Linked DNA regions of Canis lupus familiaris. The protein of the gene in region 3 interacts with the protein of the main gene of each other region in a pairwise test. Links are inferred from orthologs where the notes say so. Each region holds a gene or a part of one and is shown on either strand. Other genes may lie near its edges. The genes, in order: RAN, MPHOSPH6 and NUPR1.

Evidence for each region.
Region 1: the proteins of NUPR1 (region 3) and RAN interact in a two-hybrid assay, tested with the Homo sapiens proteins (2 studies listed by BioGRID and IntAct). The link is inferred for Canis lupus familiaris from reciprocal best matches to the Homo sapiens genes NUPR1 and RAN.
Region 2: the proteins of NUPR1 (region 3) and MPHOSPH6 interact in a two-hybrid assay, tested with the Homo sapiens proteins (2 studies listed by BioGRID and IntAct). The link is inferred for Canis lupus familiaris from reciprocal best matches to the Homo sapiens genes NUPR1 and MPHOSPH6.

Annotation. Positions count from the first base shown.
Region 1 is NC_049247.1:1,620,219-1,626,066, reverse strand, and holds RAN (GTP-binding nuclear protein Ran), read left to right. Parts: upstream 1-2,635; 5' UTR 2,636-2,647; coding exon 2,648-2,683; intron 2,684-2,791; coding exon 2,792-2,876; intron 2,877-2,949; coding exon 2,950-3,075; intron 3,076-3,903; coding exon 3,904-4,091; intron 4,092-4,260; coding exon 4,261-4,431; intron 4,432-4,526; coding exon 4,527-4,571; 3' UTR 4,572-4,585; downstream 4,586-5,848. UniProt on the Homo sapiens protein: GTPase involved in nucleocytoplasmic transport, participating both to the import and the export from the nucleus of proteins and RNAs. Switches between a cytoplasmic GDP- and a nuclear GTP-bound state by nucleotide exchange and GTP hydrolysis.
Region 2 is NC_049226.1:70,386,619-70,392,495, forward strand, and holds the start of MPHOSPH6 (M-phase phosphoprotein 6), read left to right. Parts: upstream 1-1,517; 5' UTR 1,518-1,598; coding exon 1,599-1,649; intron 1,650-2,029; exon of another isoform or gene 2,030-2,177; intron 2,178-5,877. UniProt on the Homo sapiens protein: RNA-binding protein that associates with the RNA exosome complex. Involved in the 3'-processing of the 7S pre-RNA to the mature 5.8S rRNA and play a role in recruiting the RNA exosome complex to pre-rRNA; this function may include C1D.
Region 3 is NC_049227.1:18,386,185-18,391,848, forward strand, and holds NUPR1 (nuclear protein 1), read left to right. Parts: upstream 1-2,557; 5' UTR 2,558-2,716; coding exon 2,717-2,828; intron 2,829-3,188; coding exon 3,189-3,325; 3' UTR 3,326-3,338; intron 3,339-3,822; 3' UTR 3,823-4,152; downstream 4,153-5,664. UniProt on the Homo sapiens protein: Transcription regulator that converts stress signals into a program of gene expression that empowers cells with resistance to the stress induced by a change in their microenvironment.

The DNA.
Region 1 (5,848 bases), on a different chromosome or scaffold from region 3:
CCTTCCTACTGTCTCTCGAAACAACAGCTTCATGATTCCGTGTATATTGTTGTAATCAATTAAAAAAATTACCTACATAACATTCAAGAACTAATATGTATAAAAGTGTACATAAATGGTATTGTACCGTACAATCTCTCTATAAAACTACATATACTGTGGACTATTTAAGACCATTATCACATCTTTCTTGAACTTCCTTCTTTCTCAACATTATCCTTTGAGATCTAACCCTGTTGATACAGATGAACTTGCTTCCTTTCAGATGGCATACTGTAATAGTTAAATATTTGTAGTTTCCCTACCAATGGGTATCTCTGGAAGCTGCATTTTTTGTTGCCATAATGTTGTAGCGAACGCTTGAGATACTGTCTCCCTGTGCATATGTGTGAGTTTAACTCCAGAGAATCTCTCTAGAAGTGGAAGTTACAGGGTCGCCAGCTCTCGGCACTCATGTTTTATCAGTTCCTGCTTTCCAGAGAGGCCAAAGCAATGGTCACACCCAAGCAGCATAGAGATCTGTTTGGTGTTTTCCTGAGGGTCCTGGAGAGCAGTGGGATTGGAGTTCCCAGCAGGCAGATTCGCCCAAGTGTTGTGCCCAATTTGCATCACTTGTGTTCCCAATAGGTTTGCTTGCAAAGGGCACTGAAGACTAAGTGGCTAACTCCTCCTCCGTCATCTGGGTTCTCTGCGCTCTGGGAAGAGTCCCCACGGTGGAATCCTTCCTGAGCAACCAGACTACTCTGATGGGGCCACCAGCGGTACTACTCTTGCCGCGAGTGCGGATGTTTGCTTGCAGAGGGGGCCGAGAGGATCTGGGTTATGGAGAATCTGTGGCTGTCCACACAAATGCCAAAAACTGGCCCTAGATTTAGGGTAAGAGGTTAGAGGACTCCACTTGGCCCACTTCCTTGCTGAGAATGAATAGTAGTTAACTGTCAACACTTGCTGAGCTTGTGGCTCATCTTACTTTCTGCCTACACCGGCCCTACGAGGTGGGCATCCCCAGCAGCATGTGACTTCTGAGTGCATGGATCTCGTCTGCATTCTTGCCAGCTTTATTGTCTCCACAGTCTGGAACCTACATACTCATCGATTGCATCCAAATTTGTAACTGGGATGCGAGCCGCCAGGTTTGAAAACACGATTTCGTCATCCTGTGCGCAGGATACAGTCACAAAGGCTGCTGACCAAGGAAATGCTTTAACAAAAGGGTGGCTGCCTTTTAGGGTGAGAAAAAGCATCGATTTTGCACCCTTTACCCCCAAGTAAGGTTTTGGCTGGAGCCAGGGACACCGGGTGTGGGCGGTGGGGGGGCCTGAAACACAAGGCAGGGGCCCGCGGGGTCCAGGTGAGAGGAGGGGGTGCGGCGGGGGCCCAGGGCAGGCTCTGCGGACCGGGGTCTGGGAGGAAGGGCCGGGGCCGGGCCGGGCCGGGGGCGCAGGAAGCGGCCGAGAGGGTGATGGAGGCCCGGGGGAGGCAGGTGGCAGATGGACGGGCGGCTCCGGGAGAGGGTGCGGGTCGGAGCGCCCGGGGTGCCGCGAGAGCCCACAGGGGCAGGGCCACAGGGGCAGGGCCCAAGGCCTCCGCACGCGCCCGCTTCCCCCGCGGCGCACCGTCCCGCGCGCCCACGGCGAGGCCCCACGCCCGGAGGCCCGGGGCTTTGTGTCGGCCGCTCCCCGCGACTTTCCCGCCCAAGAGGCCTGCGCTCTCCTCCCAGTGTCGTGGCGCGGCCGCAGCTGGGCGCGCCGCGTCGGCGTCGGCGCATGCGCGCGCTGGAACCCGCCCTTGGGCCGGCGCACGTGGCCCCGCGAGCCGGCGTGCGTCCGCGCGCCCGCGCCGAGCGCGACTGCCGCCCCGCCGCGACTCTCCCCTCCGCGCCCGGCCGACGGGTGTGGCCGGCCGAGCCCGCGGCGTGCGTGCGCGCGCACGCCGGGCCACGTGGGAGCGACGCGGCGCCGTTGCCCCGCCCCCCCCGGCGCGCGCCGGCGTCGGCTGCGTCTCCGGGCATTTGAATTGCGCTTCCGCCATCTTCCAGCCCTCAGTCAGACGGGCCGGAGACGCTTCTGGAAGGTAAGGCAGCGGGGCCGGGCCGGGGGCCGCGGGGGCCGCGGGGGCCAGGGGCCGGGGGGCCGGGGGGCCGGGGGGTCGGGGGCCGGGCGGGGGCCGGGCGAGGGCCGGGCGAGGGCCGGGGCCGGGGCCGGGCGGCAGTCGTGCGGGCCGGGGCGGCGGCGGCGGCGGCGGCGGGCTCTCGCCGTCCCCTGCCGTAGAGACCGAAGACCGTGGCCGGGACGCCAGTCGCGGTGGGCCCGGGCGGGCGGCGGCCCCGGGGCGGCGCGGGCCGGGGGGCGCGCGATCGGGGCCCCGGGCGGCCCCGGCCTCCGCCCCGCGCGCCGGCCTCCGCCCCGGCCTCCCGGCCTCCCTCCCCCACGGGCGCGCCGCCAGACCCGCCGCCGGAGCAGCGCCGCTCGCCCGCCCGCCCGCCGCCGGGAGCGCGCCGCGGCCCCCGCCCCGGCCCGGGCGTGCGCGCGTGGGGCCCGGCCGCCGGAGCCCCTTTGTGGGCCCGGGCACGTGGGGCGGGCCGGCCATGTGGGCCCGGGCCCCGCCGCCAGCCGTCCCACGTCTGTCTCCCCGCAGCACCAGCGCTATGGCTGCCCAGGGAGAGCCCCAAGTCCAGTTCAAGGTGGGTGGTGCGCGGGGGCGGCCGGGGGGAGCGGGGCGGCGCGGCCCGGGGGGCGCCGGGGCCTCCCCTCCCCCCCCCCGCCCCCCGCGACCGCGTCCTGTCTCGTAGCTGGTGCTGGTTGGCGACGGCGGCACCGGCAAGACCACGTTCGTGAAGCGTCACCTGACGGGTGAATTCGAGAAGAAGTATGTAGGTACGTGGGGGGAGCCGCGGGGGCCCCCGGGAGCGGGGCGCGAGCGGACCTGACGGCCGTGCTTGTGTTGCAGCCACTCTGGGCGTGGAGGTCCACCCCCTCGTGTTCCACACCAACAGGGGCCCCATCAAGTTCAACGTGTGGGACACCGCCGGCCAGGAGAAGTTCGGCGGGCTCCGGGACGGCTACTACATCCAAGGTGGGTGAGGGCGGGCCGGCGGCTGCCGCGTGCTGTGTCATGATGGGCGCAGCGCCGAGCCTGGAGCCTGGAGCCGGGACCCGGAGCGGGCTCCTCACCTAAGACAATGAGCATCCCACGAGGTGCTGCTGTGGCTGCCGGAGTCGTTGGGGCTGGTTGGGGGTTTTTTTGCTTGTTTTTTTCCCTCAAGGGCACTGTAGAGTGGCAGATAAAGACAGGAAGAAAATGTCATCTGGGATCTCTTGTGATGAAAGATGATTGGGAGTCCTTCCATATTTTGCATCCTTTGCTATGTTACAGATACACAGCTTTTTTTTTCTCTTCTTAAAAAGTGTTTAATTAGGAAACTCCTAGACTGTACATACTTCGGTTTGTTGTCTCAATTATATTAGAATTGTGTTCCTCATAGGTCAGTATGTAGGCCTGCGTGTTTTAAGGCAGAATAACATACTCTTTTGTGTAGTTTAGGATCATTTAAAGAGCAGGTTCTGAGATCCTCAGAATAGAGGAGACCAGTTGTCTTAGGGTGCTGCTCTATCGGTAGTCTACTTGAGATTCTGGGATGGGACGGAATTAATGAAGTATTACGGGAGAGATTTGATAAGCTAGGCTGGTAGTTCACACTCACACAGAAAATGAAACTTTAAATCTTGTTACGTATTACAGTGGTTGGAGATCCTTAAACTTGGAAGAGAGAGACATTGGGGTGTAGTGAGTGCAGAAGCAGAGGTAGCCAGATTGGGCCTGTCCCCTAGCCCGTGCTCCTTAGCATTCCTCATTTGTGCAAGAAGTCATACATGTGTAACAGTTTTCCTACATCTGTTTCAGCCCAGTGTGCCATTATAATGTTTGACGTAACGTCAAGGGTTACTTACAAGAATGTGCCTAACTGGCATAGAGATCTGGTACGAGTGTGTGAGAACATCCCCATTGTGCTCTGTGGCAATAAAGTGGATATTAAGGACAGAAAAGTTAAGGCAAAATCTATCGTCTTCCACCGAAAGAAGAACCTTCAGGTATGTTTTTTAAAACTTAATTGTTTTTCTCTAAGATGAAACTACGGTAATAGATCCACTAAAGGAAATTGTGTCTGTGGTATGGATGGAAAAACTATTTTTAGTTTTAAACATTTCAATGATCCTCAAGAAGTAGATTTTTAAAAACTTATTTTATTTTATGGAACAGTACTATGACATTTCTGCCAAAAGTAACTACAATTTTGAGAAGCCGTTCCTGTGGCTTGCTAGAAAACTAATTGGAGACCCTAACCTGGAGTTTGTCGCCATGCCTGCTCTTGCCCCCCCAGAGGTGGTCATGGATCCAGCTCTGGCAGCACAGTACGAGCACGATCTAGAGGTAGGTGGCAGATGGGTCCGTCAGTGGGATCTCTTGGGTGTCCCGTGTCCTGACGGCTCTAACCCATGGTGTCCTGACGTTGTGTCTCTGTCCAGGTTGCTCAGACGACCGCGCTCCCGGATGAGGATGATGACCTGTGAGAAGTGCAGCTGGAGGCCAGCGTCAGAAGTCTAGTTTTATAGGCAACTGTCCTGTGATGTCAGTGGTGCAGCGTGTTTGCCACTTTTATTATATAGCTGAGCAGAACATGTGCTTAATCTTTGGGATGCTGAAGGAGATGAATGGGCTTCGGAGTGAATGTGGCAGTTTAAACAGTACCTTCATTTTTTTGGACCTGCATACTTAGCTGTTTTGGAACGCAGTTGTTTCCTTCCTGAGTTTCAGATAATGAGACTGCTACAGTCCCATCACAATATCCAGTGGTGAAATCTCGTTTGTCACTGTCATTCCCATTCCTTTTCGTTTAGAATCAGAATAAAGTTGTATTTCAAATATCTAAGCCAATGAACTCCTCCCTTGTTTGGTAAGCATCTTAAAACCACTAACAGGAAAAGTTGTGCCACGTTACTGTTGAACTGGCCTTTGCTATTCTCCCTTAATTTGAATCTTTGCAGGTTAAGTTCTTGTCTATTTGTACATTTGGATCCTCTCACACAGGTGACAGGGCAGACATCCGCAGTATTCCGTTTGGTAGATTGTTAGAGGGGTGAGCATCCGTGGTGAAGCTAAAACGATGCCCGTCGCATCTGCCTTCAGACTGGGTGGTGTCACCTGGGGAAGAGCTTTGGACTTCTGTGACCTGTTGGAACAAAACTACTAGACGTTTCGGATAGGCATTTTAAGAATTACAGTTAACATTATTTTGTGACCAGTAACCGTGCTCTCATGTAGGGATGTTCAGAATCTGGTAGAACGATAACAGATGACGGTGGGGACTTGACAGGAGTCTCATTTGTTAAAAATGAGTGTAAGTTATGCATTGATTTGATTTTGTTTTAATGTTAACGTCTAATGTGAAGCTGGTACTCTAGAAAGATGTTCCACGATTACCCGCTGCTTTCAAGTATTTCTGAGTGTTAAAGATGCTGAAGAGTAAGGATTTAAGTTGGGCATCTCACAGCTTTGATGCTTTTTTTTTTTTCTGAAGGATTTTTGTGGCCAATTCAAAGGCACGAACACTAAATAGAAAAGTAGATCTTAGAATGGCTTCTTGAAACGTGAAACATTGCAAAGGTTTCGTTGGATCAAACCATTTATCTTTGTATGATTTACACATTTAAGAACGAGTGGAGTCTGTCTTCAGTTTTGACCCCATGGATGCTATACTGTAGCAGTTAGGAGTCTTAAACTATTATGCTCACTTGAGCACTGCTATGGTTGTTTACCAAAGTTCCTTAGATGTCCATTTCTCCTTAAA
Region 2 (5,877 bases), on a different chromosome or scaffold from region 3:
CAATCGAGGCAGCTGCAAAGTTATTCTCTGCAAAATCCAGACGTCTACAGATTTTATAAAGGGGATAGACAGGCAGAAGGGCATTGTACTCAGATCAAAGGGTTCAAATGCACCTCAAAGAGCTTGCACACACCTGACAGCTAACCTTTAATTGGATCTTAGGGTACCGCCTCAAGAAGGGGAGAAATTGCGTTATCGCTAACAGATTCATGGGAGGCCAAAACAAGCCTCTCTTCATCCCTGCATGGAGCCTGCTTCTCCCTCTGCCTGTGTCTCTGCCTCTCTCTCTTTCATGAATAAATAAAATCTAAAAAAAAAGAAAAAGAAAAAGAAGGGAAAGGGAAAGAGAAAGGAAAAGGGAAAGGAAAGAAAGCTGTGTGGGACAGGCAAGCCGCTGGCACCGCCCGCCGGCCGGGTGCTTTCCGGGGAACGGTGTGGACCTCACCGTCCGGGGGGGCCGTGCGGCCCTGAAGCAAGAGCTGGGTTCTTGTCTCCCGGAGCAGAAGAATGAGTCTCACGGACAAGAGAGAGTAAAAGCAGTGGAAGTTTATTAAGCAAGGATGCAGAGAAACTCTCAGGAGAGGGGTCCTCATGGGGTTGCCAACTGGGCCTCCACTGACAAGTCTTTTATTGAGAACTGACCAGGGAGATTGTGGCCTTATCCTCCCTGAGACGTCCTGGTTTAAGTCTGCTGATAACATCTTTAATGACTTCCTTTTGGGTCTGGTTATTCTTTACCGGTCACAGGTGTGTGTGTGTGTGTGTGTGTGTTTTCCACCCATATCCGGGGGCAGGGTGGTCTGGTCTGTGCCCGTAGGTCTGGTTTCCTTACATCTCAGCATTCTGGGGACTTTGTGAGCCTGCCTCCGCGGCCCCCTCTCCATCTCTCCCTACCTAGCCCCGCCAGTCCCTCCCTCACTCATCCCCAGCCCTTGGCACAGGTGGCTGCCGGGCCTCGCACCTGCGAGTTGGGTTTGGGCTGTCTCACGGGACGCTCATCCAGGCTCAGGGACCTACCTGCACAGCTGCAAACGGTGCACAGTTTCCCAGACTGCCTGGGTCAGCACCCGCCCGCCTCCCCTCCCCCCACCGCTCCCGGGCCAGCCCGGCAGCCTCCCCACGCCTCAGTGACCTCAACGCAGGAGGGGCTGTGGCGCTGACCGTGGTGCGCGGCCCGGGAAGCCCGCCGTCCGCGACGCAGACGCGCCACAGCCGCGGCGTGGCCAGGACGGGCGGCGAGCGTCTCACCAGCTCCCACCGCCTCGGTGACGCGCGGCGACACTCACCACGGCGCTCTCGGGGCGCAAAATTCGGGCCTCCTCCGACTGAGGCCTCTGTAGACGTTTGCCTCCTGCGTCCAGTCGCCCTCGCCCCTGGCGGACAGCCGCGTCCTCACCCGCAGCTCCTCGAGGAGGACAGCGCCTCCCGGGACGCGCCCAGGCGAGGGCGAAGCCACGCGGTGCGACGACGCCAGCTGCGGGAGACGCCGCCGCCGGGACGCACGCGGCAGTGCGCGTGCGCGGGCGTGCGTGTGCGTGTGCGCGTGCGCGTGCGCGGCGGGGGCTGGGGGTGGAGCGCGGCCCCGAGCAGGCGCCAACATGGCGGCCGAGCGCAAGACGAAACTGTCCAAGAACCTGCTGCGCATGAAGGTGCGGGGACGGCGGGGAGGCGCGCTGGGCGACGGGGGTACCTGAGCTTCCACACCTGGCCGGGGCCGGGGCTGCAGACGCGCGGGGGCACCGGGGCGGCCGCGGAGGGCCTCCAGCTCGGACATTCATTCATTCACTTAGCGCTTGGTCTGGTTCGGGCCCTGGGAACGGGATTCTGAGTCCGGCGGGTTCGCTCTTAAAGCCCGCGGCGGGATAGGAGAGCGGCGGCAGCGGGTAGGATGCCGCGGCGCTGAGCGGTGCCCGGAGCGCCGGGAGCTTACTTGGCTTCCGCGGGAGAGGCCCTTGGGTGGGGGGTGGGGGGTGGGGGGGGGAGGGGAGGAGGAGAGAGGGAGGGCAGGTGGGAGGCGGGGCGCAGGGCCGCGGAGACCCAGGGAAAACCGGGTGCACGGCTCTGGGACGCAAACCTCGGGAAAGCCGCTGGGATTCCCAAGAACTAAAGATCAGCCGTTGTGTCTGGAAGGCAAGTAGCAAGAAGTGGGCCTGAACCAGCAGCCAGTGGCCACATAGGTGAGCAGTTTTAGGCCAGAGGAAGAATTATTATTATTATTTTTTTCTCTATGTGAACACGGAGAAGCTATTGAGCATCTTAGCTGTGCTTACTTTTCAAAGTTCCCTTAGCTGCCCTATGGAGAATGCCCTGGTGGGGGAAAAAAAACAAAAACGAGCTAGAAGTTTTGATCTGGTCGCAATGGCAATGGGAACAGAATTAGAACAGTTGAGGTGAATATCTTCGACTTTCAGCAAAATTGATTATTTAAATTCGAAATTGAATCCATTTTTTTTTTTAAGATTTTATTTATTCATGAGACACAGAGAGAGAAAGAGAAGCAGGATCCCTGCAGGGAGCCGGATGCGGGACTCGGTCCCAGGACCCCTGGAATCCTGACCTGAGCCAAAGGCAAGAAGCTCAACCGCTGAACCCCCCCCAGGCGCCCCAAAATTGAACTCATTTAACAAATAATTTCAAAGTGGAAAAACAAAAAGGCAAGGGCACGTAAAAGGAATATAGGATTAAAACAGGGGAAACAACCAGGCCTTAAAAGCTTGAATAATAATAGTAAACATTTATAGTTTCTGCTATGTGCCAGACAGCTGTTCTACGTGCTTTGCCTATAGCCGCCCGTAGAATCCATGTAGTGACTCTGCGAGGTAGATGCAGTTATTACTGCTCTCCTACAGCTGAAGCCCCGAAAGAGAAGTAGCTAACTTGCCTGAAGTTACACAGCTAACAAGTTGTATAGACAGAACCAAACTCAGGCAGTCTTGCTCCAAAGCCCCTGCTCTTAACTGCTTGTCGCTGTCAGCACAGTGTAAGATGTCGTGTTTAGAGAATAATTTCCAGAAAAAAAAGGAAGCAAGGCATAAATAATGTTTTGAAAGATTGGAGAGTACATGTTGCATGTGCCAGATTTGGAGTTCAGCGAGGGTGTAACTAGGGATGAATAGGGTGAGTGAGGGTGGAGGGTAAATCATAATTTATAGTTTCTAAAGTTCTTTTTTCCTACATATTAATAGCAAAATTTGCATTTTTACCCCACAGAGGCTTCTTCTGACTCTGAGTTTGCAATCCGAGAGGTAGAGTGGATTGGCAAAGCAGGCACATCAACTGAAGATGTCCTGAGTGATTACACCTCTGACCAAAGAGCTGACTCAAGAGTTAGAAAGGAAGAAAATACCATAAAAAAAGTATCAACTCCTACCCCAGTGGTTGGAGAAGACTCAACAGGACTTGGAAGCAAAGGAGAGGGGGGGACTATGACACAGATTTTCTAGTTGGGTCAGCAGCTTCAGTTATAATAAAGAACTTATTGGTAGGATAGCAAGAGATACCATACATACAGATAGAGTGGAGTGTCCCATGAGAATGAATGGAACAGCTGCATTAGGTTGCTGTATCCAGTGTAACTGTTCAGCCAGAGTTCAGTGTAGAGCAAGAATGAAGAGAGTAGAGGATTTAATACTAATACATTTGTTTTGAAGTGTACCTGAAATCCTCCGACTTGGTCACCTGTTAGGGACTGGAAGGTGATCCTGATGGGAGTAGAAAGTGAAAGATATAGGTGGTATTCCTGTCAGCATGATGAAATGATTGTAAAGAGGGCGCTTATTTGTGATGTTAGCTCCTTTGGGCTCTTAAGATAGGAGTTGGTAAACTTTTTCTCTAAGAGGACAGATAATAAATACTTCAGGCTTGTGGGCCAGTTAGTATTGTACCTACTCACCCCTGCCATTGTAGCTCAGAACCAAATGAACAGATCTTTGTTCCAATAAAACTTTATTTACAAGAATTGTTATCTAGCCCAGAATTGTAATTTGTGATGCCTGCTGTAGGCTCTCACTTGTGAGTAAAGTCAAATCACTAAGCTTTTTTTTTTTTTTTTTTTAAGATTTTATTTATTTATTCATGAGACACACACAGAGAGGCAGAGACATAGGCAGAGGGAGAAGCAGGCTCCCTGTGGGGAGCCGGATGTGGGACTCAATCCCAGAACCCCGGGATCACAACCTCCAAAGGCAGATGCTTAACCACTGAGCCACCCAGGTGCCCCCAAAGCATCTGAGTTTAAAGAGAACCATCCAAGAAAGAGAGTCTGGGAAAATAAGTCTGGAGTTACATTCAGAGAACCTTTATTGAACTCTTCTTGTATACCAGCTACAGCCCAAGTACTAGTAATAAAAAATGAATAAGAGACATGGTCTACTATTCAGAATCTCTGTCTTTTGGGAGACACAAAAGAAGCATTAATGAACAAAAAGCCAGTGCTTATAAGGCTCTTAGATGTAGGGAAAGATATTCTTTTATGGGAAGAGATCTCTGAACAGCTTGGCCAAACACCAGTCAGGGAAGGCCGAAAGGACATGTGCTCTGGGTTTTTTCAAGTGGATATTTTGCCAGATAAGAAGATGGAAACATGATGTTGAGTAGCAGAGGAAGCAGGACTGGGAAGTACATTACTACATTCCAGAAACTGCCAGTTTTTTCCTGTGGTGAGGGCTTATGCAGACTTATGTAGCTACCACCACATTCATGATACAAAGCTGTTCCATCACCATGAGGTTCCCTCAGCCTCTCCATTTGTAGCCATACCCAGTCTTTTCTACTGTCCCCAAGCTCTGACAGATCTGTTCTCCATTCCTATAACTTCGTTATTTCAAAGATGTTCTATAAATAAAATTGTACATATGTAACCTTTTTGAGATGGCTTTTTTTTTTTCATTCAGCATAATTCATTTGAGATCCATCTAAGTTGTTGAGTATCCTTAGTTCCTTTTTTTCAATTGCTAAATAATATTCCATGCCATGGTAGTACCGTAGGACTTAACCATTCACCTTTTGAAGAGTATTTTGATTGTTTTCAGTGTTTGGCTATTAACAAATAGAGCTGCTGTGAATATTTCTGTATGACTTTTTGAGTGAACATAAGTTTTCATTTCTCTGAGATAAATGCCCAAGAGGACAATTGCTGGGTCATATGTTATGAATCTTTAGTTGGGTAAGAAACCAAACTGTTTTCAACAGAAGTTGTACCATTCGTATTCCTACCAGCAATGTGTGAGTGATCCAGACTCACCTCATCAGAACTGGATATTATCACTGTATTTTATTTGTAAATGTTTTCCAAGTTCCGTCATTGCCTTTAATATTCATTGGTGGGATCCCTGGGTGGCGCAGCGGTTTGGCGCCTGCCTTTGGCCCAGGGCGCAATCCTGGAGATCCGGGATCGAATCCCACGTCGGGCTCCCGGTGCATGGAGCCTGCTTCTCCCTCTGCCTCTCTCTCTCTCTCTCTCTCTCTCTCTCTCTGTGACTATCATAAATAAATAAAAAAATTTAAAAAAAAAATATTCATTGGTAAAGCCCTTTTGCCTAAAAATGCTTGTATTTTTGGAAAGGTTGGAATGGAAGGAAAAGTAATATAGAGCTCAGACAAGGAAAAGAAATAGGGACAGATGGAAACTAGTAGAACTCTAGACCTAATTTCTGAAGGCTCCTGGATATTTTCTGAATTTATTTTTTTCCCTTATTAATGTTTTATCATTTTGCTGTGATCAGTTTCCTATGGTGTTCACTGATGCCCTAAGGAAATAGAGTTATTGTTTATGGTGGGAAGAGACTAGCAGCTGGACTGCCAATTTCTCTCCTGGCCTATTTTGAGTTGAGCTTCTGCACATCTTAGAAAAAAGAGCAGCCGTAGAGGTAATCAGCC
Region 3 (5,664 bases):
TATGTGCGCATGGAGGCCTAGTCATGAAATCGGAAATGTCCGAGGCAGGTGGTATTTATCCTTTTAGACAAAGGGACGATGAAACTGTGAAGAATTGAAGGAGAAAGAAAACTTTATAAATTAGTAAAAAAAAAAAAAAAAAAAAGAGTAACGAAAATCTCAGCTCTAAATGTTTTACTTCTGGGGGCAGATGGGTGGCTCAGTTTGTTAAGCATTTGCCTTTGGCTTGGGTCATGGTTTGGGGGTCCTGGGATCGAGCCCCGGTGTTGGGCTCTCTGTTCAGTGGGGAGTCGGCTTCTCCCTCTTGCTCTGTGCTCTCTCTTGTTCTCTCTCTGTCAAGTAAATAAAATCTTTAAAAAAAAAATGTCCTATCTCTGATGATAAGGGTGTCTTTTTACCTCCCTGTACAGGGAGGGGAATTTTACCTGGGAGATTTATTTCCTGCTTTCAGGGGTACAAAGGAGGGCTGAAAGTCAGTCTCACCAGGCTGTCTCTTATTTTATTTAAAATAACCAATATGTTAAAGTGACTCATTGTTGGGAGACCTGCCTTTGGCCCCTACGTGATTATCCCAAACTCAGTTTTATTCAATGACCTCACTTTCATTTCCTGGAGGTTCAAGAATTCACACATCAACCAAACCTGAAAAACAAAAACTAAATTTTATTCTGGCTCCAGCCAGGGAGAAACACAAGCAGAAGTACCTCTTCTTGTTCAGCAAAGGACGAACTTGGGTTATCCCAGGGTTTGGGGGAAGGTGAAATTAGGCAGCATGGAAATGAGACAGTGTTTGAACGAGTTCACAGCAAAGGGGGAATGTTAGCAGAGAATGAACACCTGGTCTGACCCCAGCCTGTCTTATTTTTTATTTTATTTTATTTATTTATTCATGATTGACACAGAGAAAGAGAGAGAGAGAGGCAGAGACACAGGCAGAGGGAGAAGCAGGCTCCATCCAGGGAGCCCGACACAGGACTTGACACAGGATGCAATCCTGGGGCTCCAGGATCACGCCCTGGGCCAAAGGCAGGTGTTAAACCACTGAGCCACCCAGGGATACCCCCCACCCCACCCCCCAGCCTGTCCTATTGTGCGAGACTACTAAGGTTAAAATAGAAAAAAAAGAAAGAAGAAAGAAAGAAAGAAAGAAAGAAAGAAAGAGAAAGAAAGAAGAAAGAAAGAAAGAAAGAAAGAAAGAAAGAAAGAAAGAAAGAAAGAAAGGAAGGAAGGAAGGAAGGAAGGAAGGAAGGAAGGAAGGAAGGAAGAAAGGAAGAAAGGAAGAAAGGAAGAAAGGAAGAAAGAAAAGAAAAGAAAGGTGGAAAGTTGCATCTGCCTCCTTCCCTGCCCGGTACTGTGGGAGCTGGCACATAAACTTCAGCAAAAACATCAGTGGGCAGGGTGTGGCCTCTCTGGGTCAACCTGACCCACAAAGGGCAGATCCCTTGAGGCAAGAGTGGAAATTTCCACTTTCATGCGTTTCTTTTCTTTTTTGAAAGATTTTATTTATTTATCCATAAGAGACACTAAGAGAGGCAGAGACACAGGCAGAGGGAGAAGCAGGCTCCCTAGGGGGAGCCTGATGCGGGACTCGACCCCAGGATCCTGGGATCACACCCTGAGCCAAAGGCAGATGCTCTACTACTGAGCCACCCAGGCGCCCCTTGCATGCGTTTCTTGTCTGAATCCCTTCCCTTAATTCATATTAGGTACAAACACCTGTTTACTTCGTAATATCTTCTACCTCTGGATACTCATGCCTTGAAAGACATTATTTCATTATAAATCACTTTTCTTTTACATCATAGGGACGACATTATTGAGTTGTTTGGGAATTAGGTGAATGACTCCTGTAGCACAGCTTACAAGGTACCAGGCACTGTTGCAAGTGTCCCCTACACACATGTGGGGGGTGTCTCATTCAATTCTCTCACGAAGTCTGTGAGGTTGATGCGATTCTTATCATCCTCATTTTTTTACAGAAGAGAAAACTGAGGCGCAGAGAAGTATGGTGACCTGTCTGGGGTCACCCAGGAAGGAGAGGTCAGAGGTCTGAACCCAGGGCAGCTGGCTCCAGAATCTGCACCACACTGTTAACCTCCCTCTCCAGTGAGGGAAACTACCTAGGGACCCACTCCCCCTCACAGCTCAGGATATAAAGGGGGCTTTCCAGATGTTTCTTATCGAAAAGGGGTGTTGGGCGTGTTAGGGGCGAAAACCACTGACCTAGCTTGTGGTGTGTTGTTCATTCCACAATCTGCCACCAGGGTCCTGAGTCTGAGCCAGAATTGGGGTGGGGGTCAGGTGTGAGGCAGGGGGCAGGGGACAGATAGGGAGGAGTTGGCCAGGTGAGGCCCTCAGTTCCCCACTGGCCATTATCCCAAGGACTGTTTATGCTCAGACTCTGCCTCTTTCCTCCTCCTCCCTGAGGGGCGGGGATCTCCTCTGTGGAAAAATACCCAGCTGGGCGAGCCCCAGTGAGAGGGCGGAGGCGAGGGGAAGGGGCTGGGACTCACAGGACTGACTCTTTCCCCCTCTCGTGATTGCTGTTTACTGGGTCGGGTTCTGGGAAAGGGCCAGATTGCATCAGACAGGGCCTGAGGAGGACACGTGGCCTTTATAAGTTGGGGCCAGTGAAGAGGGAGGTGTCGGGAAACCGGACACAAACAAAGCTTTTGAAGACGACAGAGAGACAGACGGCAAGGGAGAGTCAGATATAATGTCCACCTTCCCGGGAGCAGCCAGCCGGGCTCAGCAGCCCCCAGGCCCAGAGGACGAAGACCCCAGCCTGGATGAGTATGACCTCTATAGCCTGGCTCATTCCTGCCTGGGTAAGGTCTGGCCCTGTCACCTTCCTGATCCCTCCACATCTACCCCCATGTCCCAACTAGGATTCTTCCTTAGATTTGTCCTCATCCCCAAGTCCTTCTTAACCCCTCTTACCCTGAGTGCTGTCCTGCTCAGCCCTGGGACCCCACACACCCCTAGGATATTGGAGCAACCATCAGGGGTCCCTCATTCCACAGATAGGGAAACAGGGATTATGACTGCCCCAAAGCCATGTGGTGACCAGTCCCCAGTCTGCCTCCCCCAAACCATGCTCTGTCCACCCTGCGCTCCCGACCCCCTGCTTCTCCTTGGATGTCTCATGCCTCCGCCAACCTCACCTCAGCCTCTTGCCTGGTTCCCAGGAGTGGGAGGCCGGAAAGGTCGCACCAAGAGAGAAGCTGCTGCCAACACCAACCGCCCCAGCCCTGGTGGCCATGAGAGGAAGCTGGTGACTAAGCTCCAGAACACGGAGCGGAAAAAGCGGGGGGCACGGTCCTGAGACGGAGCTGGAAGTAAGGAGTCAGGGGACCCAGAGGTCCCTCTGTCTCAAAAGGACATGCCTCAAAGTATGGTTGGGTGAGAAGAAGGGATCCAAGTACCATTGTCTCAAAGTACAATGAAATGAGACACACATTCGACTCTGAGTTTCCTAGTGACCAGAGCAAAGGGGGAAATATGGAACCTTTCCAACTGGAGGGCAATTTGGTTTACAGGGAGGGAAATGGAGCCCCAGGGGGAGGTAGGGTCCTTCTCTGGAGACACAGAGCAAGTGACCAGGAGAGGCAGAGTCAGAACCCAAGATTAGAACTGTCCCGCTCAGGGATGCCTGGGTGGCTCAGCGGTTGAGCTTGAGGATCTGCCTTCAGCTCAGGGCATGATCCTGGAGTCCCAGGATCCAGTTCCGCATCAGGCTCCCTGTATGGAGCCTGCTTCTGTCTCTGCCTCTCTTTGTGTCTCCCATAAATAAATAAATAAAATCTTAAAAAAAAAAAAAAGAACTGTCCCTTTCTTCCCTTGCCCCAGATGAGGCCAGAGCACGGACACCACACAGCGACGAAGACAGGACCACGGATCGGCACCTGGAGGCAGGATCCAGACCTGCTTGCCCCCCACCCCACCCCCAGGACTTACCCTACCTGACCGAGGCTCCGAGGGGCCACCAAGGAAGTGACTCCAGCCCCAGAAAAAGGACAAGATAGGAAGCAAGAGGCAGGGAATGAATGGAGAGGCAGAGTCGCAAAAGGTACCCCCTAAAAAGAAAGACACTGAAGAAATTGGCTCTCCTGGAGTGTGGGAAGGAAGGACAATAAACAAAGTACATCTGCAGGTTGTGTGTGGGATTTTGTCTCTTTGCGCGGTTTTGATCATCTGTGTTTCTGCCTGTGTGTGGCTGCGTTTGCATGAGCCAGTGAGAGCCCGTCTTGTTAGCGTGTGTCCTTGGTTATGCACCTGGGAGAGGGTGAGCCTGATTTTGTGAGGATGGGTAGGGGCTAGCATGTTTTCTTGTGTTTTCTTTTGGTATGCATATGTTTTGGCAAACATGTCTCCATGGTTTCTCACGAAATGCAAGGGGATTTCCTATTTCTTTGTCATGCTGCCTGGGAAACAAGCCCCCTCCTCAGCTCTTGTCCATTTTCAGAATGAACAATCTTATTGATTGTGTCATTTTCATATAAAACCACCTTTGGGGGCACCTGGGTGGCTCAGTCGGTTGAGCTTTCGACTCTTGATTTTGGCTCACATCTCCAGTGTCAGAGTGGTAAGTTTTCAAGCCCTGCATTGGGGCCATGCCTAATGTGGAGCCTGCTTAAAAAGAAATTAAAATTTAAAAGAGGGAATCCCTGGGTGGCTCAGTGGTTTAGCGCCTGCCTTTGGCCCAGGGCGTGATCCTGGAGTCCCGGGATTGAGTCCCACATCAAGCTCTTTGCATGGAGCCTGCTTCTCCCTCTGCCTGTGTCTCTGCCTCTCTTTCTATGCCTCTCATGAATAAATAAATAAAATCTTAAAAAAAATTAAAAGATATAAAGCCACTTTTTGAAGTGAATGCTATTTATTGGTGCCACCTGCAAAATAGAGAAAACTGAGATTTATTTATTAAAGATTTTTATTTATTTATTCATGAGAGGCAGAGACACAGGCAGAGGGAGAAGCAGGCTCCATGCAGGGAGCCCGATGTGAGACCCAATCCCAGGTCTCCAGGATCACGCCCTGGGCCGAAGGCGGCGCTAAACCGCTGGGCCACCCGGGCATCCCGAGAAAACTGAGATTTAGAACTTAAGAGACTTGCCCCAGATACTCAGGGCTCAAACTCAAGGATTCTCACTGTCCCTCTGCCAAGAGGGCTGCCAGTACAGGGTTCTGGGAGGTCACCTGCAGGGGAGGAAGATTCTTACCTTGTATATATATATAATCAGTCTCAGGACCAGAGTTTGAGAAGACTGTAGGGCAAATAAGAAGACCTATTGATTGAGATAGGTTTTGGGCGGCTGTAATGAAGACTCAAATTGGGAGAGAAAGTTCTCTGTCATATAACCGCTCCAAGAGTCAGTACTCTTGAGCTAAAATGACAACTTCACTGTGTCAGGGATTCCAGCGACTTTTAGCTCATTATTCTGACACCCATAAAACATGGCTTCCGGGATGCTTGGGTGGCTGAGTCGGTTGAGCATCTAACTCTTGGTTTTGGCTCAGGTTCTGATCTCAGGGTCATGAGATCAAGCCCCAATTTCCAAGTTGGGCTCTTTGTTCAGCACGGAGTCCACTTGAGATTCTCTCCCCCTTTGTCTCTCCTCCTCTTCTCTCTCAACTAAATAAATAAATCTTTAAAAACAAGCAAAC